Sus scrofa: one gene and its partners. The protein of the gene in region 4 purifies or fractionates together with the protein of the main gene of each other region. This does not show direct contact. Links are inferred from orthologs where the notes say so. Each region holds a gene or a part of one and is shown on either strand. Other genes may lie near its edges.

What was found. Proteins that work in one complex are often made in the same cells at the same time.
Region 1: the proteins of USP25 (region 4) and KLHL9 purify together in Homo sapiens (affinity purification with mass spectrometry; 3 studies listed by BioGRID and IntAct, with this or other methods). This does not show direct contact. The link is inferred for Sus scrofa from reciprocal best matches to the Homo sapiens genes USP25 and KLHL9.
Region 2: the proteins of USP25 (region 4) and BTBD9 purify together in Homo sapiens (affinity purification with mass spectrometry; 3 studies listed by BioGRID and IntAct, counting the BioPlex papers as one, with this or other methods). This does not show direct contact. The link is inferred for Sus scrofa from reciprocal best matches to the Homo sapiens genes USP25 and BTBD9.
Region 3: the proteins of USP25 (region 4) and KCTD10 purify together in Homo sapiens (affinity purification with mass spectrometry; 4 studies listed by BioGRID and IntAct, counting the BioPlex papers as one, with this or other methods). This does not show direct contact. The link is inferred for Sus scrofa from reciprocal best matches to the Homo sapiens genes USP25 and KCTD10.

What each region holds. Positions count from the first base shown.
Region 1 is NC_010443.5:201,587,337-201,595,744, forward strand, and holds the start of KLHL9 (kelch-like protein 9), read right to left. Parts: upstream 4,495-8,408; 5' UTR 3,934-4,494; coding exon 2,080-3,933; 3' UTR 1-2,079.
Region 2 is NC_010449.5:34,101,575-34,109,710, forward strand, and holds the start of BTBD9 (BTB/POZ domain-containing protein 9), read right to left. Parts: upstream 4,495-8,136; 5' UTR 3,599-4,494; coding exon 3,539-3,598; intron 1-3,538.
Region 3 is NC_010456.5:41,438,811-41,447,121, reverse strand, and holds the start of KCTD10 (BTB/POZ domain-containing adapter for CUL3-mediated RhoA degradation protein 3), read right to left. Parts: upstream 4,495-8,311; 5' UTR 4,480-4,494; coding exon 4,261-4,479; intron 1-4,260. UniProt on the Homo sapiens protein: Substrate-specific adapter of a BCR (BTB-CUL3-RBX1) E3 ubiquitin-protein ligase complex. The BCR(BACURD3) E3 ubiquitin ligase complex mediates the ubiquitination of target proteins, leading to their degradation by the proteasome.
Region 4 is NC_010455.5:180,663,397-180,671,042, reverse strand, and holds part of USP25 (ubiquitin carboxyl-terminal hydrolase 25), read right to left. Parts: intron 7,164-7,646; coding exon 7,093-7,163; intron 5,618-7,092; coding exon 5,389-5,617; intron 4,020-5,388; coding exon 3,819-4,019; intron 1-3,818. UniProt on the Homo sapiens protein: Deubiquitinating enzyme that hydrolyzes ubiquitin moieties conjugated to substrates and thus, functions in various biological processes including inflammation and immune response.

The DNA.
Region 1 (8,408 bases), on a different chromosome or scaffold from region 4:
ATTTGATTAAAGGGGAAACACAGCTACTCAAAAACCACAAATATTTAACCTCATCAATCAAGGAAATAATTGGGATGCTATTTCTTGCTTATTCAATGCACAAATAGCAATTTCTACTTTTTCTATTTCCTAAATATACTCAAACGTGCTATTTTCGGTGATAAATTGAGTCATTAAGAAACAGGAAGTGTGAAATTTTCTGCCAATGCAGAAATCATAAAAACATTAAAATGAATCAACACCTGTACGGGCAGTATGGTTCAGATCCCTTGAAACCAATTCCTTTTTGTCCTGGTTCCTGAGTTTTATTATGAGATTGTCAATAAAGAGAAGGTTGTTCCTGATTTACACAATGACAATCTCCTAGTATAGGAATACAAATATATATGCATGTAAATGTACATATATAATTTTTTCTTCAGGTAGACAATTATTCCAGGAAAGTACCTTTTCAGAATCACTCACTTTCGAGGACTGCTGTGATTCCATTTGCTGATAAGTTCCCATTAGATCTCCTCATGTGGTTCTCGACCAGTAGGGATGTGCTTGGTATTGAAAAGGCTGCCTAGACTTTCTATAGCTGCCTCCTTGAGGAATCTGAAATTGGTCCTGTGCTTTAGACATAGCCAAAACATCTTTCTGATTGGATACAAAACAGCACATAGCCTTGAGGCAGATCACACAAAGCTCAGGATGCACAAGGGCTGGAGCAGCACAGGGCAATCACTTCAAATTAGATAGTCATGTTAGAAAGACTAAGTTGGGAGACTGAAGTTAAAATCCTATATAGCTTTATTCAACATATATCTTTGCCTTTTTCATATCATAAGTTTTACTGAACAAAAAGGTGGAAAGTAGCAGGGCCTAAATTTACTGAGCAAAAGCAATTCTCTGAGACCTGAACTTTGCTGAATAACCTGTATATATGCAACTCTACAGAAGACAATATACAAACAGCAAAAATAATACAAGTTTCATCTGTAGTAACAATTCAGTCAAATGACAAATTTGGTGGTCAATTTAATGTTGTATCCCTTATTTATATCAATTCATTAAGACTACATATAGACATTTATTCTCTAGTACTGAATTCCCATTTGAATAAAAATAGCTGCTGGGTAGAAGAAAAGAATTTAAATTTAAAAACAACTGCACTATAACTGAAGTACCAATCGAATTTAAAATTATATAAGTGTATGCATGTGCATGTATGCACATGTATTTTTTTTCTCTCCCTCTCCCTAGAAAGAGATATGAAACCCTGATTTAGGGTTATAATATTTTTTTGAGTAAATATTTTTGAATTTATTATTTCTCCAGTCTACTAATAATCTCCACATATACTTTTGTCTTTTTTGAATTTTTAGGGCTGCACCTGCAGCACATGGAAGCTCCCAGGCTAGGGGATGAATTGGAGCTGTAGCCACCGGCCTACACCACAGCCACAGCAACTTGGGATCCGAGCTGCATCTGCGACCTACACCACAGCTCACAGCAATGCTGGATCCTTGACCCACTGAACAAGGCCAAGGATCAAACCTGCACCCTCATGGATGCTAGTCAGGTTTGTTAACCACTGAGCTATGAGAGGGACTCTTCTCCACGTATTCTGAATGTACCTACACAATCTGGGGAGTTGGCAGCTGTCAAAAACTCCATGAAAAAAGGGAGGTAGCTATTAAGACTTGGAGACGTTTTCTGCTTATTATTTTAGATTAGGGCAAGCAGCCTCCCTTTGATGTTTTGACATAAAAGATGAAAACTTAGCATCTTTGAAGCATAATAAACATAATTATATACACTTACTACCATCACCTAAACTTTGACTTACACAACACCACAAAAAGACATCTAACAAACACTGTTCTACTTATCTTTTTACATTTGCTAAAACAGCTATGTTGAATACATTTTTAAAATGCATTGTTAACCATTTGATAAACATACTAAGCCAAACAATACAAATTACATCAATTACCTCTTTAATCTAATAACTGTACCAATCACTGTAAGAAGATACAACTGAAGTGGAAGTATGGGATCATCCATGATGCACTGCAAAAGTATTACAGCTTGGTCCTAAGAATGATCTGAAGGTGCTGATAGAGGTGATTCTCTAGAAGGTGATCCAGGGTTTTCTTCAGGTGGAAAAACTGTGAGAGTACAAGCTCGAATGCCACCAAGTGATTCTGGAAGATCAAAAACTTTATGCCACTCATCCTTTTCTGGGTCGTATTTTTGGACAATTTCCACCATACAACGATTATTCCAAGAATATCCACCTACAACATAGATTTTATTTTCAAAGACGGCAACTCCAACATCACTCTGGCCTCTTAACATGGCAGCAATTGGTGTCCACTGGTCAAGGGTTGGTGAATAGTATTCACAGCTTAGAACATCATCATAATCACTTGTTCCTCTGAAGTGATTGCCACCAATGACATAGAGCTTATCTCCAACTGTACACATGCAGTGCAGACCTCTGACTGTAGTCATTGGAGCCTTCTGTGTCCATTTGTCCGTATCAGGGTCAAAACACATGAGCTCGTTTTGGAAAGTGTCATGAGTAATTCCTCCTGAAATATACATTAAGCCTCCATATACTGTTCCAGCATGGCCATAGTGGGGTTCATTCATTTTTGCAACATAGCTCCACTCATTCATTCTTGGATTGTAACATTCTACTGTGGCCAGTTCACCAGCTGCACTTCGCCCACCAACAGCATACAAATGCCCTTTCAGAGCACTTAAGTGGAAAAATGTGCGCTTTTCATTTAATGATGCAACCTGCATCCATTTATTATACCGGGGATCAAATCTGAAAACTGTATCAACAGCAGTTTTTCCTTTTGTATCATAATTACTTTGACCACCAACAACATAAAGAAAGTTTCCAATGACAGCAATGCCATGCTGGTAACGAGGAGCATCCATGGGGGCTAAAGACCTCCACTCTTGAGCTCTTTCATCATACATCCGTAATTCTTTACTGACAACCAGCTGCTGCCTCAAAACTCCTCCTAATGTAACCAAGTGGGTAGAGTCAGATCTAATGGCAGTTCTATCTGACTGCATCACTGGCTGCATATATGGCATCATTTGGTAATTGCTAGCTTCCAAAAGCAAATTCACACAAGTATTGTCTGTTCTCATGAAATCTACTGTCTGCACATAATTGATGAGATCCTGTGGTGTCATCAGTGGAAATCGAATGTTCTTCATTAATTTTGCAGCATAATCCATCCGAGGGTCTTCCAACCTTAGCCAGCGACACGCAGCCTTGAAAAGCTCAAGTTCAGTACAGTGCTTAAGACTGTTGCTGGAAAGCACAAAGGCAAGCCGTTCAAAAGGGAGTTTTAGAAACTCCCCAGTACTCAATAATGCAGGAAAATTCTTCAGGATGAAATTATTGACATATTTATCTACTTCTATAAGATTGTAGGTGTTAGCAATTCGTCCAACCTCAACACAGTTATCTAAAGAGACTCCTGAAATAAGAAACACTTTACAGAAGTCCAAAACAGGTAGAATTTGCAAAAAGCTGGCAGCTTCAAGTGTGTCCTGAAGATTGTCCATATTAAGAGAAAGTTTTGCAGTATAAATAAAATCAATTATTTTCTTCAGACCAACTTTGTTCACACCGTGAAGCTTAATGCACATTAAATCTTGTTCTTTCATTCCACCTGTGAACATAGCCTTGAAATAATCACTAGCAGACGCCATCATAGCTCGATGAACAGGGAAGATTTCATCTCCATCACCTGGTACCAGAGTCACATCACAAAGCAATCCTTCTATTCTAAGCTGATCAAAGCCTTGCAATACCACCGAACTGTGAGTATTGCTGGTAAAAAACCGTGTGGTTCCTGCCTTGCAAGGCTGTAAATGGGCAGAGACGCCCATTTCACCGTTACCAAGAGACACTTTCATGTGAAAGCCTTCCTGTTGCACAAAGATGTATGCCGGACAAGGAGGTTACGACCTGCAAGCTTTAAAGGAACCGAGGATGTCCCAAGAGCAAGAGAGCTCGCGTTCCTTATCAACAAGGGCAAACAATCGCCGTGGCGCCTCTCAGAACACACCAGTCATACACTGAATATTGTTCTGCAGCAGGACCACAAAGGGCTGTGGACCTCAAATCTGATTATTATGTAGATGATTCAACACCTGAAAGCAGTTAAGTGACCCGGTTCACCTCGTCCGGCCTGTGCTGCCGCTCCTCCTGCAGTTCCGCTGCCGGCAAAGGGGGGGGAGGTGCCGCCACGTCCTGCGGTTCCACGGCTCGCTCGGCGGCGAGGCCGGGCACCTCAGCGAGCAGCCCGCTTCGCCCTCCACTAACCCTGGTGCGTCGCCACGGCTACGGACCCGTCTTTGAGCAGGGGCCTGGAACAGCGGCCTGGGCCTGGGAAACGGGCCGAGCCCCGGGACGCGGAGCCGCTCCTTCCGGAAAGGCCTTGTCCCAGGATGCCCCGGGCTAGGAGCGGCCGTCGCAAATACTGCGGCTGCGCGGCTGCCTGACATTGTCAGTGGGCGGGAGTGTGGGGGATGAGAGGAAGGGCAAGGGGGACTGGAAGGGCGGGTTTTGTGCAAGTGGGGGGCTGTGCTGTGTGGGCAGGGGCGGGGCTTCTTCGGTTTACTTAGAGCGGCTAAAGAAGCCGGAGTGGGTACACGTTCATCGTGTTTGGTATAAATCTTTCAAAGCAGCTGAACGCTCCCCCTAAATGAACACTTTGGGATTTACACTTCCTGGCTTCTGCCTGTTGCATAACAATGAAATGCGGCTCTAGTAGAAACTGAAAGAAAACCTGATAAATGGTGGCAAACGGGGAAGATCTTAAAGTTCTTCCTCTATAAAAAAAATCTTTATGATTCTTACCCCACACAATTAATGAACACTTTAATTATAGCCTTGGTTCATATTTTCAGATTTAAATCATTTAAAACGTCACGTGCCTCTTTTTAAATAGCAAATTGTGACCACGCTATGTAAATAACAGTCTGAATTTTTGCCTCCCAATGGAATTCTATTATCAGTAAATTTTTCCTGCTCTTGTTTTCCAATCAGAAAATTTTAAATAGGAGTTCCCGTCGTGGCGCAGTGGTTAACGAATCCGACTAGGAACCATGAGGTTGCGGGTTCTGTCCCTGCCCTTGCTCAGTGGGTTAATGATCCGGCATTGCCGTGAGCTGTGGTGTAGGTTACAGACGCAGCTCGGATCCAGCGTTGCTGTGGCTCTGGTGTAGGCCATTGGCTACAGCTCCGATTCGACCCCTAGCCTGGGAACCTCCATATGCCGTGGGAGCGGCCCAAAGAAATAGCAAAAAGACAAAAAAAAGAAAATTTTAAATAGATAATCCAGTTGTGAGATAACTACACATACTATGGTTTACTTTACCCATCACCTGTTCCTAAATATATACCTTCTTGTCCTCCACTGTTTTATAGAATCTGGGCACAAAACTATGTTTGTTTTTGGATAAATCCAAAAAGCAGAATAATGATTGAAGACATATAAAATTTTTTTTTCCAAAATATCATCAGCAGTGTTTGAGTACACATTTCCCCTCTACTGATCTTTCCCTTTATGGATATTTTACTAACTTAACATTTTAAAAAATTGAAGGATAGTTGATGAATTTACATTTTTAAAATTACTAGAAATTGAGATTTGAGCATATTAATAAATGTATACTTTGACACACTGCTTCCAAAATTTTCCAGTTTGAAGTTATTACTGTCTTTTAAATCCTTTCACTTTATTCATGCATATGCAAATTGATGACTATATAGTCTTATATTACACTCTCCCTATTTTTATTTAAAAGATAGCATACCATACTCACTGTTCTATACTTAATGAGATACTCTCATTCATATAAAGAGAGCTTCTTTATCTTGTTTTTTCTTGGCTGCCCCAGCAGCATGTAGTAGTTTCCAGGCCTGGGATGGAACCCTTGCCACTGAAGTAACCACAGCCACAGCAATGACAGTACCAGATCCTTAACCTGCTAAGCCACCAGGGAAGTCTCTTCTTTATCTTTTTAAATAGTTGTATTGTTTCCCAATAAGTGTGTGTCACATATTTTTCAAATTAAAAAAAAAAAAAAAAAGCACAACCTAAAAGTTGAGAGTTATGTTTTATTCTGCAGATATTCTTAAGACTTCAAGCCTGGGAGGCCACACTGCAAGTAATCTTTAGAAAACTGTTGTGAAGAAGGCAAGGGACAAGCTTGGATATATAGGAGTTGTGCAACAAAGGGCACACAATCAGAACAAAAGATTACTGTTGATTTAAAAAAAAAAAAAAAAAAAAAAAGGAGTTCCCATTGTGGCTTAATGGTTAATGAATCCAACTAGGAACCATGAGGTTGCAGGTTTGACCCATGGCCTCGCTCAGTGGGTTAAGGATCTGGCGTTGCTGTGAGCTGTGGTGTAGGTTGCAGACACAGCTCGGATCCCGTGTTGCTGTGGCTCTTGGCATAGGCTGGTGGCTACAGCTCCGATTAGACCCCTAGCCTGGAAATCTCCATATGCCGCGGGTGCGGCCCTAGAAAAGATAAACAAACAAATGAACAAATAAAAAATTTTAAAAATAACTAGATATCTCAAGTTAAAGAATTTAGTTCTTTTGTATGTATGGGAAGATGCAAGAGTCTGGGCTCACTGAAATCATTCCTTTGATATGCACTTCAGCTATCTGGGGTCAATAGCTTTTGTTAACTGATTTGGCAGGCAATATTTTATTTCTCCCATTATTTGATTATTCCCCTACTGATGGACATTTAGCTGGTTCCAGTGTTTTTCTTTTGTTTCTGGTGGATGGCAGCAAGGTCCAGAAGGCTCAGATCACTACTGTTCTCCATCAAATGCGTCAGCAAATCTTCAAACTGTTCAGTATAAGAGGTTAATTAAAATGGGATTGACCTGGAGAAATTCTACTGGATTTATCAGCTTGGGCAAGTCCTGGAGACCTGCTTGGTGGAGGAGTTGGGAATGGAAGGACTCCCCACAGCTGTGAAGACTCCATAATGTACTTGGAAAAGTACTTCCAAGGAATCAGTTTCTCTCTGGGAAAGAACAAATAAAGCTACTGTACATGGGAAGTTGTCAAAGTAAGAAACCATGAAATCCTTCTTCTTATTATCAATCTTGTAAGAAAGATTAAGAACTAAGAAACCACAGATATGCTTTTTTTTTTTTTTTTTCCAGCCATGCCCATGGCATGTGGATGTTCCTTGGCCAGAGACCAAACTCAAGCCACAGCAGTGACTCAAGCTTCTGCATTAACAACACCAGATCCTTAACCTGCTGAGCCACAGGAGAACTCCCAGATGTATGCTCTTAAAGAAACAATTATTACAAACAGATACAACCCACCATACTCCCACTCGTTTAGTAATTTTAAAAGACAGTTTTTTTTTTCAGCTTCCATCATGAAATAAATGGATTAAACTTATCGGAAACGTTTACTGATAGTATTAAACAACTATAAGTTAAATCATCCAGTTCATAAGGGGGGCCCAGACTATCATAGATAAGCTTATTAGTGTACTTATGAACTTAATTATTTTATGCTATTTATTGTATTTCAATATTTTGCTTGTGTTTGTGCTAATTACACAAAGGTACTCATCTTTATATGTGTGTATTTTTATATGTACATATCTGTGTGTGTGTGTATAAATATGTGTGTGTGTATATATACATATATACACACACACATATATATATACATATTTTTTTGGCCACGTTCTAGGCATGTGGAAGTTCCCAGGCCAGGGATGAAAACCAAGCCATAGCAGTAATAATGCCAGATCTTTAACCACTAGACCACGAAAGAAATCCCTAATCTTTATATTTTTAAAGTATTTATTATTTAAAGTTGTATTTTCATCTTTTTACATTTGCCTATTTTCAATAAATTAATATCAAGACTAATTTTGCAACTTTAAAGGATAGCACTGCTTCATTCATTCATTTTATTCAAGTTATATATCTATATCACAGGTTCTATGGCTGCCTTCATTATATAAAAAGGTGAAGAAAGGAAATGAAGTGCCAACTCTCTTGAAACTTACCTTTTTGCTGGAAGGATACATAAAAGTATTGATAAATCAGTTAATTAATTTCAACTACATTATATACTAACACCATAGGCAAAAGAAAAGTGGCTTCTGATCCCAGAACCTGGAGGATGCAGACTCTAAGACTTGACATTGGATGTACAGTTCTAGAATTTACAGAGTGCAATGGCTACATGTGTTAACCTGGGAGCTGGGTTACCCTGGCCCCTGAATGCCCAGGAAGTAATGAGCTCTTTTAGAAAAAGAACAGAGAATAGGAAGACCAAAAGCTGAACCTTAGGGACCTTCATATTTTAATGTAGGGAAGAGAATAAGGAGTC
Region 2 (8,136 bases), on a different chromosome or scaffold from region 4:
TGGAAAGATCCGGGCAAATCATTTCCAAGTCCCTAAGATTCACTTTCTACCTTAGAAAAGGGGTGGAAGGCTATGAATGCAATAAAATTCATTATTTAAAAAAAAAAAAAAAAAAGAAAAGGGGAGAAGGGGGCCACCATCCTGTGGTCCTTCAAGTTCTAAAGCTCTACAACTAAATCATCTATGTAGGAAATTTTTTGTCTTATTAGGGCCAAACACGGCATATGGAAGTTCCCAGGCTAGGGGTCAAATCAGAGCTGCAGCTGCCAGCCTACACCACAGCCACCACCACACCAGATCCAAGTCGTGTCTACGACCTATACCACACCTCATGACAATGCCAGATCCTTAACCCACTGATCAAGGCCAGGAATCAAACCCACATCCTCATGGATGCTAGCGGGTTTGTTCCCACAATGTAACTCCATAATCTGTCAAATTTTTAAATACACATTTCCTATAACCCAGCTATTGTGCTTCTAGAACTATTGATTCAGTATTGCCTGTAACAATAAAAAGTTGGCGGGGGTGGGGGGGCAACTAAATATCCATCAATAGGAGCTCCTGTTGTGGTGCTGTGGAAATGAATCTGACTAGTAACCATGAGGTTTCGGGTTCATCCCCTGGCCTGGCTCAGTGGGTTAAAGATCCAGCATGGCTCTGAGCTGTGGTGTAGGTTACAGACATGGCTCGGATCCAGCGTTGCTGTGGCTGTGGCGTAGGCCAGGAGCTGTGGCTCCAATTCCACCCATAGCCTTGGAACTTTCATATACTGTGGGTAGGGCCCTAAAAAAAAAAAAAAAAAAAACCATCAATATGTAAGTGGCAAATAAATTACAATGTATCCATGTAACCCAGGCATTAATAGGAATGGAATAGATCTGAATGTTCTGACCTGAGCTCCAAAACACAGTAAGTGAAGAGAGCAGGCCTCAGTTCAATTATGTAAATATAAATATATGTAAATGTGTGTATATACTTACGTTACTTAAACATCTACTGAATTAAGTAAATAGATACCTAGAAAAGAAGACTGCAAGGCCACACACTAACTGTTAACAGCAGTAACCCCAAGGAGGAGGTGGAAGTGAGCGGACGACATAAAGGAGTGAATGGGAAGGTTTATGTTTAAACTCAAGGTACTTCTGAAGTTTCTGCTTTAAAACAAGGATTTATCTTTTATATAAATGATATTTCAAAAAATTTTGAGAAGTTTAAAAGGTGATGAAATATTTAATGAAATATTTATCAAAAGAAGCCTCTTTTTTTTTTTTCCCCAAATAAAAGGATGAAAACACTGATATAGATGATCTTGGACTTGCTATACTTTCCTGAAAAGAAATCTGAGAAATGAGCAAATATTGATGGGAATAGATTTTTAGTACATAAAAGATTTTTAATAGTTATCTAAAAATGAGCCAAAACACAAATTCCTGGAGAGGAGCAACAAGATCTCTCTTGTGTCCCAAAAGGATAGCATTCAATAAATAAATATTACATTGAAATAAAATGATCCAAGGATAGGCTGGGGACACAAAGGTGGGACTCCATGTCACTCTCAGCAACTGATTATAAAAACACATGTGCTCAGGAGTTCCCTGGTGGTCCAGTGGGTTAAGGATCAGTCCTTACCACTGCTGTTGCCTGGGTTCAATCCCTGGCCCGGGAACTTCCTGGCCTGGGAACTTCCACATGCCACAGGCACACCCCCACCCCCACAAAAAAATAAATAAATAAAATGTGCTCATCTTAAAAGTCTCTAAACTATTTACAACCAGATATTTTCATTAGGAAGTTCTCCCTCCTCCCAATATTCAACACGTATTTGGTTTCCTAATTTCCACTTTAGTAGTCAAGGTTATACTTCTATATCATACTTTCTATGATGTTTCTCATATGCTTCAAATATTTTTCAACTTATAAAACCACTTTACTATGCAGCACTTTTCTTGGTGTACTCTTGCTAAGTCTCTAGTGATTTACTATTTTTTCCAACTGTAAATTCTACAGATACTTCAGGAATGTAAACATATGTTAACAACAGTACAATCCTAAGAGTCAACATTCTGGTAAAAATCTTTGATACCTTGCTATCCTTTTTCTCCATTCGCACATCCTGTTGATGTGCTTTTCGACAATGCAAAGATCTAATTTTCAGAACAGAGGAAGGATATGGCTGTTCATTATCTCTACACTCCTATGTTTTTAACTTGTTAGGATAGCCTGTGCTGCTTTTTCTAAGGGGAAGGACCCAGGGGAAGAAAGCATTTAAGAATAGAAGTTCAGGAGTTCCTGTTGTGGCTCAGTGGAAACGAATCTGATTAGTGTCCATGACGATGCAGGTTCAATCGCTGACCCTGCTCAGTATGTTAAAAACCTGGCACTGCCCTGAGCTGTGGTGTGAGTCGCATATGCGGCTCAGATCCTGTGTTAAATGTGGCTGTGGTGTAGGCCAGCAGCTACACCTCCAATTCAACCCCTAGCCTGGGAACTTCCATGTGCTGCACCTGCAGCCCTAAAAAAAAGAATAGAAGTTCATGAAAGAAATGATTCAAACAGCTCAGTTCTAGGTAGCTTTCTCAGCTAATAAGCAACTCAACAAACATTTGGGTGAAGGCTTACTGTGAGTTTAACTACGGGGTGAAGAAAGTAGCAGGTGATGAGCATTACCCACCCACAGAAACTTAAAAAGCTAATTATCCTTTCCTTGGGCTGTTAACAGCTGTGACTGATCTCACAGCAAACCATCACTAGATCACTACAGTTTTCTCTCCAATCTTACCTCCTCCATAATTAACAAAAGATGACATTCCAACACCGAGTAATTTATAAGCCTTAGCATTCTTCAGTCTTTTCCACAGAAACACCATTGCAGTATCTGGTGGCCAGCCACAAATGCCTATTTATTCCTGGAAGCGCTTCAAGACTGGCCCACTATGGAAACTAACCATGATCGGTAATATTAAGGCAAAATGCTGAGTCTCAGTGTGGGAAGAAAAAAACACCTCCCTCAGCTTCAGGGCCAAAGAGAAAATTCTTCTCCACTCGCCCCTGCTCACTGGATCAGACCCAGGAATTCCCACTCTGCCTTCTTCAATTTCCCTCATCTGCAGATTTTCAGCAGGTTTTTTTCTCTCTCTGGCTCACTAAGCAGAACAGTCAGAATCTTCAGTCACTCTCCTGCCCCTTTGGAGCTGCACTGGCCACAATGGTAGCCAAGCATCACATGTGGCCACTGAGCTCTTAAAACATGACTACTCCAAATTGACATGTGCTGTAAAAAAACCTTGTATTTCAAAGGCTTGCTAAATATCTCATTTATTTTTTCACATTGAGATGTGGAAACAGTAATTTTTTTCTTTTTGGCCACACCCATGGCATGCGGAATATCCCTGGCCGGGGAACAGACCCGTGCCACCTTTAGCACCCAAGACACAGCAGTGACAATGTGGGATTCCTAACTGCTAGGCCACCAGGGAACTCCAAATGATATTTTAGATATATTGGGCTTAATAAAAATATTTCCAGTTAATCTTACCTGTTTTTCTTTTATCACGGCTAATAAAAAATTCTGAATTGCAAACATGGCTTCTTGCATTTGTAGCTCACATTACATTTCTATTGTACAGCACTGCTCATAGGTTGTCTTAGGAAAGGCAGCAAAGAGCGTTCAAAGTCACACTAAGTCTTGGTATCACCACAGACAATTACATAACCCTTGACACTGTTGCGCTGCATCCCGAAGGCCTTTAAGACCTGCACCTGCCCAGCTTTAAGACAGAAGAACAGAGGTGGAGTCAGCAACAGAGACATCAGTGGCTTATGGACCGGCGATCTTACATGCCTGATGCAAGGCCCTGGAGAGACACCCCCACCAGGCGTGGTGGGTGTCGGGCAAGACAAGGCCGCAGGTTTTCCTCCCGAGGGGAGGAGGAGCTTGCCAGTTATAGGGGAAGTTACCTCAGATTGGCTCGTTAGTTACCAGAGAAACCAAGAAGGGGCACGTCCCTCACAGCCCCTTTGTTTTAAGAACAATCACTAACTGGGGTCTGGGGCCAGTATGTGGTAAGGTCAGCCTTGTGAGTAGGGTGAAGTGAAGCAGGCCCTCCTAGAGCAAGGGATGGAGACAGAGCAAGAAAACAGCCATCTTGAGTGGCCTGATCCTACAGACACCTTACCTAACCCTTTTCTCTTTTGTAAAGTGTGGTGATACTAAAATGCTACCTTAGAGGACTGATGGTAGAATCAAATGGGGTAAAGTAAACTATGGTGCCTGGTACATAATAAATGCCCAATAAATATTAACCGCTACCATCACTGCTACTACTACTATACTACTATCATTATTCACTATGAGTACCTGACGAAGACAAGGACAAGACATGAGTTGGTAGAAAAAAGATGGAGTGGAGTTCCCATCTTGGCACAGAGGAAGCTAATCCAACTAGGAACCGTGAGGTTTCACGTTCGATCCCTAGCCTCGCTCAGTGGGTTAAGGATCCAGCGTTGCTGTGGCTGTGGTGTAGGCTGGCAGCTACAGCGTCCATTAGACCCCTAGCCTGGGAACCTCCATATGCCGCAGGTGAGGCCCTAAAAGGACAAAAGACCAAAAAAAAAAAAGGATGGAGGGAGGGTACAGACAGTCCAGAGAGAACTCTCCATTTCTCTTCCGGAGACACACCCACACGGACAGCCTCACTACTCAGTGGCAGCATGGGGGTATTTGCAGGACACTCTCACTCCATCCAATTATGTATGTCAGAGGATGTGGAAATACGGCCACTCCTGTAACAGTTCCAAGAACCTTAGCCTGGATGCCCTTTCCCCGATAGGGAGAGCCAGAGATGCGTTGGTTCTTCTGAGATGCCACTGTTTTCTCACATGACCAAGGCTTTTACTGCTGGAACCTCTTATATTCCCCATGTCTAGTTAAATCTGCCTCCTCTTTCAAGGCTCGGAACAGACTTCACACCCTTCAGCAAGAGCCTTCCCTGATGTTGCCCATCTACGTCAGGGGCCCCTCTCATACACCCTGGGATCAGCTTCTGTTTCCGCCATCACTGCCCCCATTAACAATGTCTTGTGACCCTGTTACTGACTTGTCTTGTTGGTAAGTAAGCTTCCAATAGGGCAATAACATGAAATCACTCAACAAATAATCAATGTCTTACCATCTTTACCCTCCCAGAATCTAATACAGTTTCTAGCATATTCAAGTCAAAATTAACCAAAAAGGGCCATACAGATATGAACAGATCTCTGTTCTGAATTCCAGACCCCCATATCCCACTGCCTACTTTGTGTCTCTATTTGGTTCCTCTCAAGTACAAAGGTACTTCCAAACTCACTTCACACTCTCTACACCCTCTCTGCCACTAAACCCTGCCCTCCTACAATGTTCCCCAGCTCAGGGAGCCCAATTATGGAAATCAGAATGCCCTGCTTCAACCTTACCTTCCATACCTAATTCACCTGCAAGTCTTTTCATGTTATTTCCTAAACAAGCTCTCAAATCAAGCTTCTATGTTACCACCCTTGTCTCTCACTTGGACCATTCTCACCCATTTCCTTCCCCGTTTTCACTCCAAACTGTCCTCTACCAGCAGCCAGACTGAATGTCAAAGTGTAAATCTGATTATGAACTCTCCCTGAACCCCTCCCTCCCTGACCCTCACCCCCACTTAAATACTTCCAATGGCTTCCCAGGCCTCTTTTTTTGGGGGGGGGGGAGGGCGGGGGATGCCATGCCAGAGGCATGTGGAATTTTCCAAGCCAAAGACCCTTAACTTCCTGAGAGGCTAGGGATCTAACCTGCATCCTCACAGACATAATGTCAGGTTCTTAACCCACTGAGCCGCAACAGGAACTCCTTTCTTTAAAAAATAATTTTAATAAAATAATTTGCATCTCAACCAAATTAGAAAGCAACATTGCCCCTATAAATTTTCAGAAAACACTTGGAAGGCAAAGTCCATAGCCATAACCTCTGCTGGCCAGGATCAGCGTACCTAGAACACACTGGCTCCAAACTCAGAGAATATTTAATCTTAAAAGCTTATTATGTGTGACTAGGTCACCTTGCTGTACAGTAGAAAACTGAAAGAACACTGTAAACCAGCTGTGATGGGAAAAATAAAATCATTTAAAAAAGAAAGATTATTACTTGCTAATTTTGTTTCTTTATGCATCATGCTGTAAAGGTTGTCTTTGAAAATCACATTAGCACTACATTTTTGTTCCAATCTTTTTCCCAAATGGACTTAAGGTTTGAAAGACTGATAATTACCTTTTTCCCTCCTCCTCCTCAATTATTTAAATACTCAGTGTGTACATGGTAGTGCTCCTTGAAATTAATTTTCACAATTAAAGAGACTTTTAAAGCTTCTAATTAATTTCCCAATTCATTTTTTAGATGTGAACAGAGAATCACCATCATCTAGCAGCTCATTATACACACTATAAAATATTGCACCCCAGCTGTGAAGCTGGCCATAGTAAATATGTTTTGTTACCTTAATCAAGATTTATGATAACATAATAATGTAATTTTTAAAGGCCACATGCCAAAGTACTTCCTAAATTAATAAAAATACTTAGCACTTAACCTATACCACACTTGAAAAGCATCACACGGTCTTGCAGGTAGCTATTTGCCCATGTGCCCAGGGCTAGTAACAACTGATGGAGAACCTGTCACCAAGCCTATTTACTTGATTTATTTTACAGTAGCCTTCTAAGGCCACATACATAATGGGTACTCACTGTGTGATGGGAAAATAAATTATTTAGTCTGGACAATCTGACAGTGTTACTATTAAGCTATTAATTCCCCAAGAGGGGGAAATTCCCTGAATAGCTTTTTTTTTTTGTGCCCAAATAGCAACACTACTAGTAACTATTTACAGATTCCTGGAACCCTAGACCTGGAAAGGACTTAAGCATCATAACCATGGTTTTTTACAAATAAGGAAACTGAAAAACTTGTCAAGGCTCACAGCCATCAGTGGCAGAACCTAGGATAATATGATAAGGAGAGAAAAGACTATGGATTCTCAATCTCCTCATTCAGGAAACGGGGAAAACTGGAGCTCCTGCTGTGGCTCAGTGGTAACGAACCCGACTAGTATCCACGAGGATGTGGGTTCCATCCCTGGCCCCACTCAGTGGGTTGAGGATCCAGCGCTGCCACAAGCTCTGGTGCAGGCTGCAGATGTAGCTCAGATCTGGTGTTGCTGTGGCTGTGGTGTAGTCCGGCAGCTGCAGCTCCAATTCAGCCCGTAGCCTGGGAACTTCCATATGCCCTCCTAAAAAGAAGGAAGGAAAGAAAGAAAATGGGGATAACCATACCCCTAGGAGGATGGTTATGAGGATGCAATGAAATAACATAAAACACGTGAAGGACGCTGTGCATGTCTGACACTTAACGGTCACTCCGTAACTATCATTTTCCTAGTCAGCCTTTCCTCCAACAATTGCCCCCACCAATTTCCCCCATCACTTTATTTTTCAACCCAAATATCATTTAGGATGATGCACGTTAGTGATGACTTGCTGACATGTATACTGAATTGACAACAAATTAGAGCAAACCATACAGTTCATTCAGGAACAAAAGGACTCACCGGGAGGCTAACAAGCAGCAGACTCCAACTCCCAAGAGTTGAGTCTACCCCTCCCCAAAGGTTTTCAAAGCCTTTCGATTTGTTGGACTGAGCCCACATCACCTTACCCAAGGTTGACAGTATGCAGTTTAGGGCCAGTTTTTCAACCTTGTGCTTCACACATACTTTCTAATCCCTTTTCCAGTTTTTATTCAAACTTTTCATAAGATTATCTAAACCTCTGGCCTTCTCTTTCTAACCTCTAATTCACTCGGGGATCCACGGAAGCCTTGCTATCAGCCCACCGCTCCACGAAAACCACTCTTACCAAGGTCATCAGTAATCTCTTAACTGGAATACCCAAGATGCACTGTTCTATCCCGACCTTCCTGGAACTCTCCGCAGCCTGTGACGCTCTTGAACACCCCCTTCTTGAAACTCGACTCCCTTAGTCTCTGTGACAGCCTCCTCTCCCATTCTCCTTTACCTCCAAGTGTCTCTTCTTTCACTACTGTGCCCGTAAGAGCTGTGTATC
Region 3 (8,311 bases), on a different chromosome or scaffold from region 4:
TCCTCTGAAATCAGCCCCCAGAGACTGACACTAACAGTAACCACCAAGCATTTCCCCCAGAAAGACACTGTCCATGGGATGACAGAAACAGCTTATGGGAATAAAGACCTGGGAGGGGGCCTTACAGTTAAGGATTTTAGGGGGGTTGGGGGAGAGAGGGTTAGTTAAGGAAATTTATCCCCAATGGAAATACTTTAAAGCACCCCTTTCAGATCTAAATTTACACAAAAGTCAGTATGTTTTTGGGAAATGGTGTAGCATTTTTGTAAGGCACTTAACCATGAAACAGACAAAAAAGACATCATAAAGGATAATTTTATGTACTGTACTTTACTTTCCAATACCTTTTTAAAGATAATCAGCACACAATAAAGTGTAGAGACAGATGAGTTTCAGACAACTTTTGCATCTATGGAGCCCCCACTCCAGTGGAGATAGAGAACATTTCCATCAATCCAGAGAGCCCCTCCTTTCCCACTCCTCCCTCCAGAAGATACCACTGCTTCAGTTTCTATCCCCAAGTACAACCATTTAAAACCTAAATGATGTTGGACAACAGCCATTGTTTCCATTCTGTGGATTCCGATACCTTAGCCCATAGACATTCAGTCACTTCCCAAAGCATACTGGTGACAGAGGAGGTGGCTTGGTGACAAAGCAATAATGATGTAGGCAAGTCCTGCCTGGCCTCAAGCCCATGACTGTATCAATGATCATGCTTGGTATGGAGAGTTATGATATATAAACTGAGAAAGGGAGCCCCACACCCCCCTTCTTCAGGAAGTACCAAAAAAAAAAAAAAAAAAAAAAAAAAGCTAAAAAAAGAAAGAAAGACAGAAAAAGATGGGAGGTCATGTGTGGCTGAGGGCTTGGGTTTGGAAGTTGGAACTGAGTTTAAGCCCCCAGCCCTGCCGCTCACCAGCCGCGGGAGCCTGGACGAGTCATCTCTCTGAGACTAGCCCATCGAGCAAGCAGGGACAGCAGGCACACCTCCCCCCATGGCTGCGGTGAAGGATGCCACAGAGAGTCTCAGCCGGCCCCTGGCTCAAACCAAACACGAAGCACTCCAACTATGATCATCTGAGAAAGCTGTTCAAGTCTCAAATTATCCTCTCTCTGGAGATGTTTCTAGCTCTAATGACATTCAGCTGAATTACTTGGAGATACAGGCAGAAACCATCCTGATCTAGAGCTTGAGACTCCCAAATAGACAAAGAAAGCTCTGAACCTTTCTAGAACCCACCTTTCCAAAGGTCAGTCACTATGAGAGGCCCTCGGCAAAAAGGTTCTGGCTGTGTCCACGTCCCTAAACGCCAGTCACAGGCAGCAGACGACACAAAGCAATAGACAATAAGCGTCTCACAGCAAATCTCTCTTCAGAGGACTCCTCAGCCATCCCCACTGGGATCTTGCTTTTTAACTTGTTTCAAAGGCTTGAGTTCACTATCAACAAGGCTGGGGAGGTGGGGTGGCAGAGAGCAAAATTGGTTCCAAGAAACAGAGGTAATTAATACTTGAGCTATTGGTTACTGATTGATTCAATCAGTTTATTCCAATTAGATGGACAAGTCCAGGCTTCTCTCCCCCTCTGAGAGTACTGTTGCTGATTCTAAACAGTGGTTCTCCACTTAAGAAAAAATACTGGTTCTGGGCCCTACCCATGGAAATTCCTTTTTTTGTTTGTTTGTTTTTGTTTTTAAATGGCCGAACCCACGGCATGCGAAAGTTTCCAGGTCAGGGACTGAATCTGAGCCGCAACTGCAACAATGCCAGATCCTTTAACCCACTGTGCTAGGCCAGGGATCGAACCTGCACCTCCCCAGCAATCTGAGCTGCTGCAGTTGGATTCTTTTAACCTACTGTGCCGTGGCTGCAACTCCTATCCATAGACATTCTGATGTAATTGGTCTGGGCATAGAGCCTGAGCAAAAGAATTTTAAAATTTAAACTCCCTAGGTGATTCCAGTGTGCAGCCAATATCGCAACCCACTGTTCTAAAAGTTCTGTGTAGCCCCCACTCCAGTCAGGCTACATTTAACTTCCTGGTCTTGGAGAAGCTCCTCAACCTCTTGTTCTGTGGGTCCAGTGAATTTCTGACCACACATAAAAACAAACCAAATCATCAAAAGCAAAAGCAGGTCCCTACTCACAGCTTCAGGCCACATACAGACAGGAAGCAACTGTACACATGCTTAAAAAATAAACCATCAGCCCAAGGTGGGAAACCTTTGACTTGAAAAGAGGCCCAGGCAAGGACCACAGGAAAAAAGGCACCAAATCCCTCCCCCTTAGAGGTTTCCTCTACATCTCTATTTAACTATCTCCCTGGTGTGTGGGTTGGGGGAGATGTGTGTGTGGAAGGTTAGAACGAGCATTTAGCAAACCTGGACTGCATGTCTGTGTGAAGTTCAGACAAATGGCTTCATAGGGGATCAGTTTCCAAACTTGTAAAATTCAGTTAAAACCATATGCTTCATAGTAACCCTCAAGGAATAAATGAAGTATTTAGCATAGTTTCCCTTCCGCCCCTCAAGCTCTCCTGAAGACCAGAGGTTCCCAGCCCAGGTGGCAATGGACTCACCTGGGTGCACTTAGAAAGTACTGATGCCGAGGCTTCACCCCAGAACAATTCATCAGATTGGGGAAGGGTGTGGCAACTCTGAAACCAGTGTTTCAAAAGCTCTTCAGATGATTCTAATGTGCGGCCAGAGCTGAGAGCCACAAAGCTAAGGCGTTTCTTTAATCAGCCAGATTCAAGAGTCACTGCCTTGAGGCCAATTATAAAACTTTCCCAAACTGAGGGCACTTCTTCAACTCAGAAAAAAGTCTGCTGTTCCATTTCAACTAAATTCAATCAGGCACGTTAACTGTAGCATTGGTTTGCATCTGAAACTTACAGAATGGCTTCTGCCCAATTTCTTTCTTTTGTGTTGAACACACAAACCATCGGTCTATTCCTCTCAACAGTCTAGTGAGGAAAATGTTATCATCAACCCCATTTTAGGGGAAGAAAAGTAGGAATCAGAACTATTAGGGTCCTCCGATGCCCACTCTCATGCCCCTCTATTACATAGCCCAAATTAAAAAACTCATTACTCTCAACCCCTGCACAGCTTTTGCTGAAACAGACTGCTGGGCCCCACCCCCAGAAGTCTGCGGGACGGCTTGAAAACTTAGCCTTTTCTACCAAGTTCCCAGGTGATGCTGCTGGTCTTTGAGAACAACTGCTTTGTGCTTCCTTCCCCTCAGGTGGAACTTATTTTGCACAAAATACTGTCGTCCTAAGTCAAATACAGGTTGAATCTTTTTTTTTTTTTTTTTCTTCAGCATTGGCCTTGGTACTAGTGTGCCCTAAAGACTGCACTTTCCAGGGAGGAGCCATGGGACAAACAAGTAAAAAGAGAATGTGGGTTGAACTTTGGTCATTCCCACCCAGGGAAAAAGCTATTCGAGGAACAGACCCTTGATGGCTTTCAAGCACAGAGAAACCACCCCACAGCTAGGAGATGGACTGTGAGACACCCCAGCTCCTTAGGCGTGACCACCTTGGACCTTGAGGGAAAGGACTAGATAGGTACCCAGGAGCCAGATAAGGGGCTGGACTGCGTGGCGAAGGGACCCTGACTTCAGACCCCTGGCAATCCTCCGCGGAGTTCCCAAGACCCAGCGCACACTCGCCCGTGGGCTCCCTCCATTTATTTCCTCCACTCCACTGGTTCAGGGGTTCAGACGTACCTGGAAGCCACTTCCCCGAAAACCATTACCTTCTACCTCAACTTCCAAAGCTCCCTCAAAGCTCCGCTCCTAAGGATCCCACTTCACCCTCTCATAACCAACCCATCTCTCCTTCACAACCCTCCCCAAATTCTCATTTTCCACCCCAAATGTCCGTCTTCAATAACATCTCTTTGTTCTCTCTTTAATCACCAACTCCCATTTCCAAACAGCCCTAAGACTCAGAGACTGCCCTCTCTACTCACCCGCGCATATATTCCCAAGCCCAGATGCCCTTTCCAGGATCCCCAACAGCCAGGGACACCCCCCCTACACACACACACAATTTTCTCACGTACAGTTCTCCGTCCAAAGCCCTTCCCCCACCCCGGGCTCTCCCCGCATCCTAATGCTCCCACCGCCTCTCCCCTACCGCAGCTGCCCCTCAGCGCACCCCTCCTCTAGGTCTCTGCCCCCTCTACTACGCCTCTGTCCTGCTCTCTCCGCTGCCTAGAGCCCCCAGTCTATGGGCACCGCCCTCCTTACCATGAAAAGTCGGAGGACGCCGGAGTCTCCAAACCCGGACTGAAAGAGACAGGAAACACCCAGTTCGCGTGAGCCGGGGGCGGAGGTGGGGCCGGGGCGGGAACTTCCGCTCTCTGCACCCTCCTTCCGCCCCGCAGAGGGCACTTTCCTAAAGGATCCGGTGTACCCCCAGATATAGGATTCCTTCCTTCCAAATTCCTCGGTTCGAATACGCTGCATCTCTTCTCGGACGAGTCAGGAATTTATCCTGCTCCTGAATCATCTGTTTTGCCAGCTTACAGAGAGGAGGACACGATGTATGGAGGTTTTCCTTCCCGAACGCAGAAGCTCTAAGGAACTTTCGTTTCCCGGAACCGAATAGCTGTTTCCCGACGGAACTCTCATGGAGAACACCCCGGGGCAAGATGGCGGTCTGGCCGCGGCCGCTGCCCCGGGTCTGGTACAGCTCGGCAGTTTGGGGCTGAAGCTGTGGTCACTGCGGCCCCGACCTCTAGCACCGGGGCCTCGAGCGGATAAAGGTCTATGGCCTGCGGGTAGCGAGTGGGGACAGGGTCTTGGGTTCTCCGGGGGCTGGGGCCGGGGACTTGGAGGGAGGTGGCCCGGAGGCCCGAGTCCCTGCTTTGCCTGGTCGGAGGGGCAGGTGCTGGGGGCTAGCTTTCGGGCTCCAAGGGTGTCTCTTCGAGTCCTTTTTACCTCTGGGACAATAGGCCTTTATAATCGGACTTATCCTGGGTGGAAAAGACTTGTTATTGTCGTTGTCGATGCTGAGAAAAGACGCCGGGCCTCAGGAGTCATCCAAACCGGAGTTTGAATCCTACTTATTCTGACCTTGGGTAAATTCCCTCTCCTCTCTGAGCCTTACTTTCCAACTCTGTAAAATGGAATAATGAGCTCGTGCCACAGAGGGTGATGTGTAATTCAAATTTTAGTACTGTGCCTGACACTCGGCTCTCAATAAAAGCAGCTGGTGTTAATGATATCAATAAAGAAAAACTTGGTAGTGATCTAACTTAGCCCCACAGGCAGCCTTACATTCTCGACTTTTCTTTGCCTTCTGTGAATAGGGGGTCCCTGGGTCTTCGGTATTTCACTTAAAATAAATGATCCTTTGGAGTTAGGAGTGGATTCAAATTCAGGGACCTAGAGAGCTCTGGCAAGACATGTCCCTTCTCTGTGTGAAGGTGGGATTGAAGATAGCCTGCAGGGGAGTTCCCGGTGTGGCGAAGTGGTTAATGAATCCGACTAGGAACCATGAGGTTGCAGGTTCGATCCCTGCCCTTGCTCAGTGGGTTAATGATCCAGCGTTGCTGTGAGCTGTGGTGTAGGCCGCAGATGCGGCTTGGATCCCCTGGTGTCTACAGCTCCAATTAGACCCCTGGCCTGGGAACCTCCATATGCTGTGGGAGCAGCCCAAGAAGTAGCAAAAAAAGACCAAAAAAAAAAAAAAATAGCCTGCACCTACATAGGTTGTAGCCTTCAATAAATGATAGCTATTACTATTAACAGTCCTGTTGCTTATTCTTAAGAAAATTAGACTCTTGAGATCTGATAGAGCTTTTGGAAAAACAGAAGGTGGTTAAATATCTATAGATGTCTGATACATGGTCCACTCTTAACAGATGGTTATGGTCATTCAACCTGGCTGGCCAGTCGTTTCCACCATGAGTGGAGAATTCTCTAGGTCTTGGGCAGCAGTTGGTATTTATGGTGTTTCACCTTTGGACAATACTGCTGAAGTGTCATGCTCTTTCACGGTTCTCTATCATGTTGGCCTCACCCAGCAGAGACTGATTTTGAACAGTCTTATGGCAATGTAGAAGTAGAAAAGAGTCCTGTCTTAGTATTAAAATCTTGACTCTGTCCCTTACTAATGGTCTAACCTGGACTGTGGGAGATAGTAAATGATCTCAAAGGGTTGTTCTTTCTTACAGGAGATCACAAAGAAAGGACTTGACAGGGCAGTGGGTACTCAGTATGTTTCTTTTGGCTTTTCAGACCATCTTGGTTATCACCAATCCCTTGTTACCTAATCTTTCACCGTTGTCGCCCTAACTGGATTGTAAAGTTCTTAAGGACAATACAATAAAGCTCACTTACATGCCATCTGCTTTCAGATAGATACTCCTTATGAATATTTTCCTTTTAATTCTAATAACAGTGTCCTGGATGACTAAATCGAGATACAAGAGGGGCAAATTTTCATCTAATCCTTTTAGTAACTCTAGGAGGTAGGTACCATTATTATCCTCAATTTATAGATAAGGAAACTGGGGCCTAGAGAGGATAGGTAACTTGGCCAAATGACATAGAATCAGAACTAAAAGAACCAAGGGCTACCTGATCTGATTCAAGGCTTTTTCTGCTACACACAGCCTTTCCTTTGATCTTCCAGGACATTTATCAGAGTAAGTACTTGATAAATACTTCTGATGTGTTTCTATTTGATTGTTGCACCGTAATAGACATTATGTCAGTAGAGGAGGTGAATAAGAAAGAATTCAAAAAACTGCAAAGTATAGACCATTATGAGGTGTAAACAGAAACCACTATATAGTGTTGCTGAGGGGATGATAACCTTGAAGAAGGGATCTTATCGTGCCCGGCCCCCTGGGAGAAGTGAATGTTTGGAGATAGTGTTACAGCTATGTAGTCATAGTTTGCATACAACCTCCTGTTTTTCTCTTGGGAAGAGGCTCCCTCTTCCGTCCTCCCACCCTAACCCACCCCCCGTGAGGGACTATCTCCGTGTTAAGGAAAGAGTATGACTTGGGCTAGTTCGTCTGTAGGTCTCAGGAGCTTGAAGCTGTTACCCAATCTAAACAGAGCCAGAGGTTCATAGCCCAAGTGACAGAACTGGTGAGTCTTAGTGTACCCAGGGATAGGAAAAACTCCTCACTGGTGACCATTATTCCCTACCCAGAGAACCAGAGTCACTGTACGGATGGGGGCCTCTGCTGAAGAGTTTAAAAAAGGAAAACCTTTTGTGTCTATAAAAATGACACGTCAGGTAGACTTCCTGACAGTGTGCTCCATCAGCCCTCGATAGGTACTTGGTGTGTATCTCCTTCTGTCCTCACAGTCAGCCTCTAAGCTGATTAACAGATAAGGCAGAACAGCTCTGCGATACCTCCCTGCAGTACGTGGCAGAGTTAGGGGCCACTCCAGCTCCATGTGACTCCAAAGCACAGGGGCCTTTCACAGTGCCTTGTCACCTCGCCATGTGCCTTCTGTGGAGAATTCAGGAAACAGGTAGTTAGAGAAGCAAAATGCCCACAGTTCCACTATCTCAAAACAACCATTCTTTTTTTTTTAAATTGAAGAACTGTTTAATCGAAGTATTATTGATATACAGTATAATGCATGTGTTACGGGTATATAGGAGTTCCTTGTGGCACGGTAAGTTAAGGATCCAGCATTGGTACTGCTGTCGCTTGGGATTGCTGCTGTGGTGCAGGTTCAGTCCCTGGCCTGGGAACTACCACAAAACTGCCCCCTCAAAAAAAGAGTTGCAAAAAAAAAAAAAAAAAAAGAGTTGCAGGTGTACAATTGTGATTCACAATTTTTAAACATAATACTGCACTTACAGTTATTGTAAAATATTGGTTATACTATGTTGTAACATATATCCTTTTTATTTATTTTTTTGACAGCTGCACCTGTAGCGTATGGAAGTTCCTGGGCCAGGGGTTGAATCAGAGCTGCAGCGGCAGACCTCCACCACAGCCGCAGCAATGCGAGATCCAAGCTGTGTCTGTGACCTACAGTGCATCTTGTGGCAACACCTAATCCTTAGTTCACTCAGTGAGGCCAGGGATCGAAGCTGCATTTTCAGATTCATCAGGTCCTTAACCCACTGAACCACAATGGGAACTCCTGTACCATATATCCTTATGGCTTATTTTATACCTTATAGTTTGTACCTCTAAACCCCCTACCCCTCTATTGCCTCTTCCTCCTTCCTCTCCCCGTTGATAGCCATTGTTTGTTCTCTATATCTGTGAGTCTGCTTCTTTTTTGATATATTCACTAGTTAAAACAACCATTCTTTATG
Region 4 (7,646 bases):
TAAGATCTTTTTAAAAATATATATTCTGTACCCTTCCTCCATTGATTCTGATCTCTGTAATTCTTAGGTGGTATGTCTTGCTTACACTCAGAAAAAGTCTCCTAGGTAATTCTGATGCATACACCCACAGTAAAGAAATCCTTGGCTAAAATCTCTAAACAGAAGTATTCAGGAGAATTTTGTTTTACAGTAAGTAGGTTTGCGGCAGGGTGGTAGTAGCATGAGATGGACTAAAGAATACTTTCCTATCATTACTTAGCTTCACTAAGACAATGAATTGTGCTAGAGGAGTGATGCCTATGGATTTCTTGGTCACATGCCAGCAGAAGAGGGACAAATACTCATTTAATTAATATTACATAAATTAATATTCTTATTTGGAATATGACTCAAGAAATCAGATTTTAATGGTTCTTAGGTTATAGCTTTATTGAGAAAATTTGCAAGGAAGGAAGAAAAATCACTATGATAGACCTTTCTTCTTCTTTTTTAATGGCCACACCTATTGTATATGGAAGTTCCCAGGCCAGGAACTACACCCCAGCTGCAGCAACACTGAATCCTTTAACCTACTGAATCAGGCCAGGGATCAAACCCATGCCTCCACAGTGACCAGAGCCACTGCAGTCAGATTCTTACCCACTGTGCCATGGCAGGAGATCCTACTTTTCTTTTTTTTTCCACATATGAGGGATTTTATAAACAAGATTTCCTAGTCACTCACTCATAACCCTAGTGCACACCTGAAAGATTTAAATACAGATTCTCTTTGACATTCTGAAAGTATTACACTAAATTAAAAGAGATTACTTTGAAAACTATGAGGAGAAAGAGGAAAAAGATGGCATGGGCATGAAAGCAAAAATTTTCTACTAATGACAGGAGACAAAGGATTCCAATGAACATTAAAATAGATTCCCTTATTCAACTGTGGTTATGTTATATTCCCCTGCAACAGAAGATGGATTTCTTTTCTTCCTTCCTTCCTTCTTTCTTTTTTTCTTTATTTATTTTCTGTCTTTTTAGGCCAAACCCAAGGCATATGGAAACTCTCAAGCTAGGGGTCAAACTGGATCTGCTGGCCTACACCACAGCCACAGCAACATGGTATCCAAACTGTGTCTGTGACCTACACCACAGCTCATGGTAATGCCAGATCCTAACCCACTGAGTGAGGCCAAGGATCAAAGCCACGTCTTCATGGATGCTAGTCAGGTTCATTACCACTGAGCCACAATGGGAACTCCTAGATTCTTAATATAATATGCAAGAGAATATGATAATAGAAACCAACCATTTTTTTTAAAGACCACACCTATAGCATATGGAAGTTCCTGGGCCAGGGGTTGAATGAGAACTGCAGCTGCCAGCCTACACCACAGCCATAGCAAAACTAGGTCCGAGCTGCATCTGTGACCTATACCAAAGCTTTTGGCAACACTGGATCCTTAACCCACTGAGCAAGGCCAGGGATCGAACCTGAATCCTCATGGAGACTACATCAGGTCCTCAACCCACTGAGCCTCAATGGAAACCCTCAATCTTTTAAGCAATACTCTCACCCCCCAAATTAACAGATTTAGTACACAGTATTTCTACTAACTCAAAGTATTTTCTACTAACTCAAAGTACATTTATTTCTAGCAATTCTATAGCGGACACAGTGTTTCCTATTGAGGCAATATTACCACTGCTTTCTAAACACCATGTCTGGAAGATAATTATTGATGAACTGACATTTTCAATCTTTTCTTTTTTTTACTTATTCTGGCTCTCAGAAATATATCTGTATTATTTTTCAAGTTTTTTTTCTAAATACTAAAATTAGACACATGAAAATATATGTCTAATACCTACTACTGAATTTTTTAGACTTTAGAAAACAGCCTATGAAGTACATAAATAGGCAGTATTGATCAGGAAAAAAGGGGTGTGGGGTTACAAACATGGCCTTTTCATATAGAGGGAATATAAGATAACTGTAAATGACGGGAGAGCTGGCTGGTCCTGTCAGACAGGAACATTAGTGGGGAATATGAATATGTATTAGTTTGACTTAGTAAAAATAAGATGTGTTAAGTATGTAAATTTAGTCTTGTGAGAAACAGAGAAGATGAAGAGACTACATAGAATTAAATATTTTGATGCTGCACACTATTAGTGAGCCAAGAAGAGTAGCAGAGCTTAACCAATGCCGGGAGGATTCTCCTCTGTCTCAGAGCTTAGGTACCACTACTACTTAAGGCCTATAATGCAGCCCCATCTTCCTGTTAATAAGAACAGCCATGTATAAATAGAGTCCTTAAAAGTTAAGGGAATGATAATACAGTAGCTCTCTCTAGGGATAAGTGCTAGGGAGTAATTTGAGAAGGGTAAGTGGAATGGAATCACAAAGAGGTGGAGTTGGCTCAAAAATGAAAGGAACTCAGAAATTTCTTTAAATTTAGTGAGCTACTTTATTCCTCCTAATGTGGATAAAGTTACTGTAACGAAACTGCATTGTTGTGAACCTAGTTTCACCTGCTCTACACAGTGGCCTTTGATGTATATGGGAAGAAAGTGTAGTCCTCCTCCAGCCAAGCTCACAGCAGATTACAATGGTATTTATATATCAAAATGCGGGCATAATGCCATTATCTTGATCTTTTAAAAATTCTGAATCAATGCCACTTAAGGTCAAAATCAAGGCATAAACTATTCAATTCATATGAATACAAGTCACAAGTCTGGAAATACCTGTGCATGTCTACCTCAGTCGCCATACCATATTGTGGTTTATAAATCTCTCACTGAATCAATAATTCCTTCTAAAGGTCAGATGATGATGTTGAAACATACCTAGGTAAAGCTGTATGGGAATCTGTCTATAAAAGATGAAATTAAATAAACACCTAAAATGCTCTCTTAAAAAATAAAAGCAAAACACACTGATCTTACAAAAGAGTGTAGTTCAAAATGATCTACTCAGTTATTAAAAAGGAGAGAGACAAATGAGTTTAAGGAAAATATCTGTTTATCTCTTCTCATTTACCCAATGATTAAGAGAAATAGCATCTTTTCTACAGCACAAAATATGTCACCCTAAAATACATTCACAACTTAATGATGCTGAAATTAATCCTAAAAAAATTATTAGACATTGTATTTTCAATTTTGCTAGAACATATTTTACTTTTATGCAGTGTTATTCTTAATAATTTTTTATTTCATCAGCTAATTATAAATTTTTTAATATTTGTACTTTTATATATTAATCTTCTCACTTGTTCTATAGATCTACACAGATTTTTACTTGGAATATGTTAAATATTTAGTTTCTGTTAATTTTATTTTTAAGAATTTTGGAAAAAAAACAAATACTCTACACTAATAGTAATTATTATAATACTCCACGTTATTAATACAGATAGTGTTATTTTGCTGAAACATGAAATTATTAGAGTTCGTTCTCTTGATAGCTTTAGTAAATTGGTCTGGGTTATACTTACTAGTTTCACAGCTTTTCTAAGCATCTTGCCAAGAAGAATCAATTAAAGTAGGCAAGATGGGTAGAGGGAGAGTCAGCAGAATGATTTAACTTGAAAAAAGTGTATATGTATATACAGTGTTATCTGGCAAAGGGGTAAACTACTAAATTGTTGCCTTTTGTTATCGCTGAGAAATGGAATTTCAGATAATTTTCACTGGAGTCTTCATACTTTAGGATAACTAAAGTTTTCTGTTGTTCTTACATTTTCAATGAGTATATCTTATTTTTATAATAAAATATAAGTAGTAAATATGATACTGATAATAAAATGCAATAAATGTGGACTAACCTGTTGTCATAGAAGACTCTGACTCTCTCAATTTCTGAGATGCTAAAAGTTTTTCCTGCAAAGCTTTCTGGGCAAGCTGTGCGTCCCATTCTTCTAGTTCTTTCTCAAATCGTTGGTTGTCTTCCTCAACAAAATCTCTTAAGTCCGGTGGTAGTGTTTCTATTCCAACAAGAGCCTGCCCAGTTTCTTTATTAAACTCCTCTGCAAATCATATTTCAAAAACTATTATAAAATTAAGGATTAAAGGAAAAATGTAAAGCTCAAAATGAAGGCATTTCAAATTTAAAGTACAAATTATTACCATTTAGCAAATCAATACTACCTTTAAACTAAAACTCAAACAAAAGCTCAGAAAAGCAGTGTTGCAAATATTTGATAATCCATTAGAGGTAATATTCAGCTTTTATTTTTAATCTGAAGAGTAAAACATGGAACAAGGCATAAAGCCAAAACTGTCTGCTACTCAAACACTTACATAGCACTTTTTCTATGGTAAAATACAGATGTTTGATTATTCATGAAGTAAAACTTACCACAAAATGAGAACAAAATGAAAATAACATTAAGCTCAAAAGAGAACCAAAATTCTTTTCATCTGAAGTAGTTAAGTACAGCAATACACCTATGTGCAATTTTAAAACTAGTCAATCGTAGTATTTAAAATGGTTATTCAATCTCTAGTAAACACACACACAAAATAAATTTTAGCTTTCAGTTGTAAATGAACTACCTAGCCAGTTTTGCTAAATGCCTAAATACAAAAGGAAAGGTGATTTTATCAGTTTCAGCAAACCTTTAAGTGTTTTTTTATATGCAAAGCCTGTACCAGAATATGAGAAACAAAAAGATTAAGACATAGTATGACATGGTCCCTGGCTTTGACCAGATCAGAGTGAAGTGGGAAAGACAAGTCAACACACAATTCTAATACACAGTAAGTAAGTGCCCAGTAGAGGTACGCTATGAGAAACAGGAAGGAGCACTTTCTGGCAGGTCAAGGAAAACGTGGCAGAGCAGATGACACTGAATTGAGTCTTGACAGATGAGTAGGAATAAGGCAAAAGAAGAAAGAGTAGTATCATTACTGGCAAAAAAATAAATAAAAAAAAATATAAGCAGAGAGATATAAATGTTTGAAATTATTTGGTATTAGCCAACTATGGCAAGAAGTTCAAATATCAGTATATACAGTTTGAAATGGACAATAGTTATAAACGAAGCTGGAGAGACAGAGGTCAGAAAGTGGAGGCCTTACATGTTAGGCTAAAGAGTGTGAATATGAGCCAATGTTTGATAGAGTCATTAAAGGGATGTTAACAAGGAGAAAGAAGTCATATTCACATTTCATAATAGATACTAAAAAGTTTTTGAATACATATTACATTCAAGTAATTATCACATTACTTTCCAATTCCAGTTTTCTCACTTAAAATAATCCAAGAGCATTTTCTAATCATATCCATCATACTCTAAGTAAACTACACTCAACTAATCACACCAGAGACCAGAGTCACACAAAAGGGCTACTTATTTAAAAATAAATACCACCCTATATATTTTATATTCTTACCTTGTATTAAGAATTGCGGCTTATCATTTATATACATTAAACAGTATGCACTGGCATTTCTATAACCACCAAAGGAATCCCTCACTAGCTCTTCCCATGATGATTTTGTTACAGCAATATCATTGTACTTCATCCACCTGTTTTCACGATGATCAAAAATGTATGCCCAGTAGTGCCCGGCATTAGCTTGGCCTTCATGAACTAAAACAGCATGTAAACGATAAGGAACCTAGATGTGAAAACAGAAGAGTTAAATTGCAGTTAGGTAATCTATTATGCCACATTCCATGAAAGTCACAAACCATCAGACTGGAGGATTCTATAAGGATATATGTTTTTTAACAAGAGTAAGTTGGCTAGAATTAAAGTTTTGAAAAAATTAAACTATGAAATAGAAGATGAGGGCGGGGGTGGGGGGAGGATAAGCAAACTAAATACATGTAAAACAGACAAGTGTATAAAGAGGATGATTTTTAAAACTTTGGAAACGTATTTTGTTGACCTATTTATTTCTTTCAAACAAAGAATTGTGAAGAAATATACAGCACATTGTCTAAGTCTTCACAATTATAAACTGATGGATGAGTTCAGCAAAATGGCTTCTATAATGTACCTCAGATGTTAAAATATAATTGAGCCTTTTACTTTCTCCCATAACCTTAATATTCCTTTTTTTTTTTTTTTGGCCATACCTACAGTACATGGAAGTTCCCAGGCCAGAGTTCAAATCCAAGTTACAGCTGTGACCTACGCCTATGTAGCAATGCCAAATCGTTAACCCACTGTGCTAGTGCCAGGCCAGGGATCAAACCCACAATGCCACAAAAACAACACCAGAATCTTAATGCCAGATGCGCCACAGCAGCAATTCCTTTTATTTCCTTTTTTAAAAAACATATTCTTAGCAATCATATAATTTCTCCCATAGGATTTTTTTTTTAAATATTAAGGCCTTCTGGAAGTTTTTGATAAATTTTATTATAAAAGAATAAAAAGGTAGGTAAGAGGGAGTTCCTATCATGGCTCAGCAGAAATGAATCTGACTAGTATCCATGAGGATGTAGTTCAATCCCCGGCCTCGCTCAGTGGGTTAAGGATCCAGAGCTGCCATAAGCTATGGCATAGGCTGCAGAGGTGGCTCGGATCCCGCACTGCTGTGACATGGGCTGGCAGCTGCAGCTCTGATTCGATCCCCTAGCCTGGGAACCTCCATATGCCACGGTATGGCTGTGAAGAAAAAAAAAGACAAAACGGCAATAAATCCAGTATGAGAATACAACTGAATGAGGAAAATACTAATACAAAATATTTAAGTTCAGCAATTTCATAACAAAATGTATAAGAGAATTAAGATAAACATCAGGAGTTCCCGTGGTGGTGCAGTGGTTAACGAATCCAACTAGGAACCATGAGGTTGCGGGTTCGGTCCCTGCCCTTGCTCAGTGGGTTAAGGATCCGGCGTTGCTGTGAGCTGTGGGGTAGGTTGCAGACACGGCTCTGATCCCGCGTTGCTGTGGCTCTGGCGTAGGCCAGTGGCTACAGCTCCGATTAGACCCCTAGCCTGGGAACCTCCATATGCCGCAGGAGCGGCCCAAGAAATAGCAAAAAAAGACCAAAAAAAAAAAAAAAAAAGATAAATATCAAAGATAAATTAAAATATGTAAATGATTATGATAATGCTTACTAGCTCAAAAGTCAACTTACCTGTATCATAGATTTGTCAGAGTACATTAGTTCAATTGTGCGATGGATTCTGGATATGCTTTCCTGCAAATCTAAGGACAAAAGATGTCATTTAATGATTAACACCAAGTATATTTTTACTGAGACCTATAAGTAGGGAATAAAGGTTTTCCTACCAATATGTTAGAGAAATGGCGAAAACTTCCTAAAACTGTTTTTAAAAACATTACTATTTGGAATCTGTATAAAATGAAATTTAGTTCTCCTTAATGAATGATAACAGCACAAATGAAAAATTAAAAACCAAACAAATATGGTTCATTTAAAAAAATGTGCAGAGCCAATAAATAAAGGAAGGTTTCAACGAAAATTAAAGCTAAACTCCCCACATATTTGTATTAAACACAAAAACTTTAGAATGAATTAACTGCACCACATATCATGCACACACACACATACACCTGAATAAAAATCCACCATAATCACCACTGGAAATAAAGTTATGAGACTCTCATTATTGTTTCTATTTTCAGTAGAAAACTATCTCATCTAATTACTCAGAGGTAGGGATAACT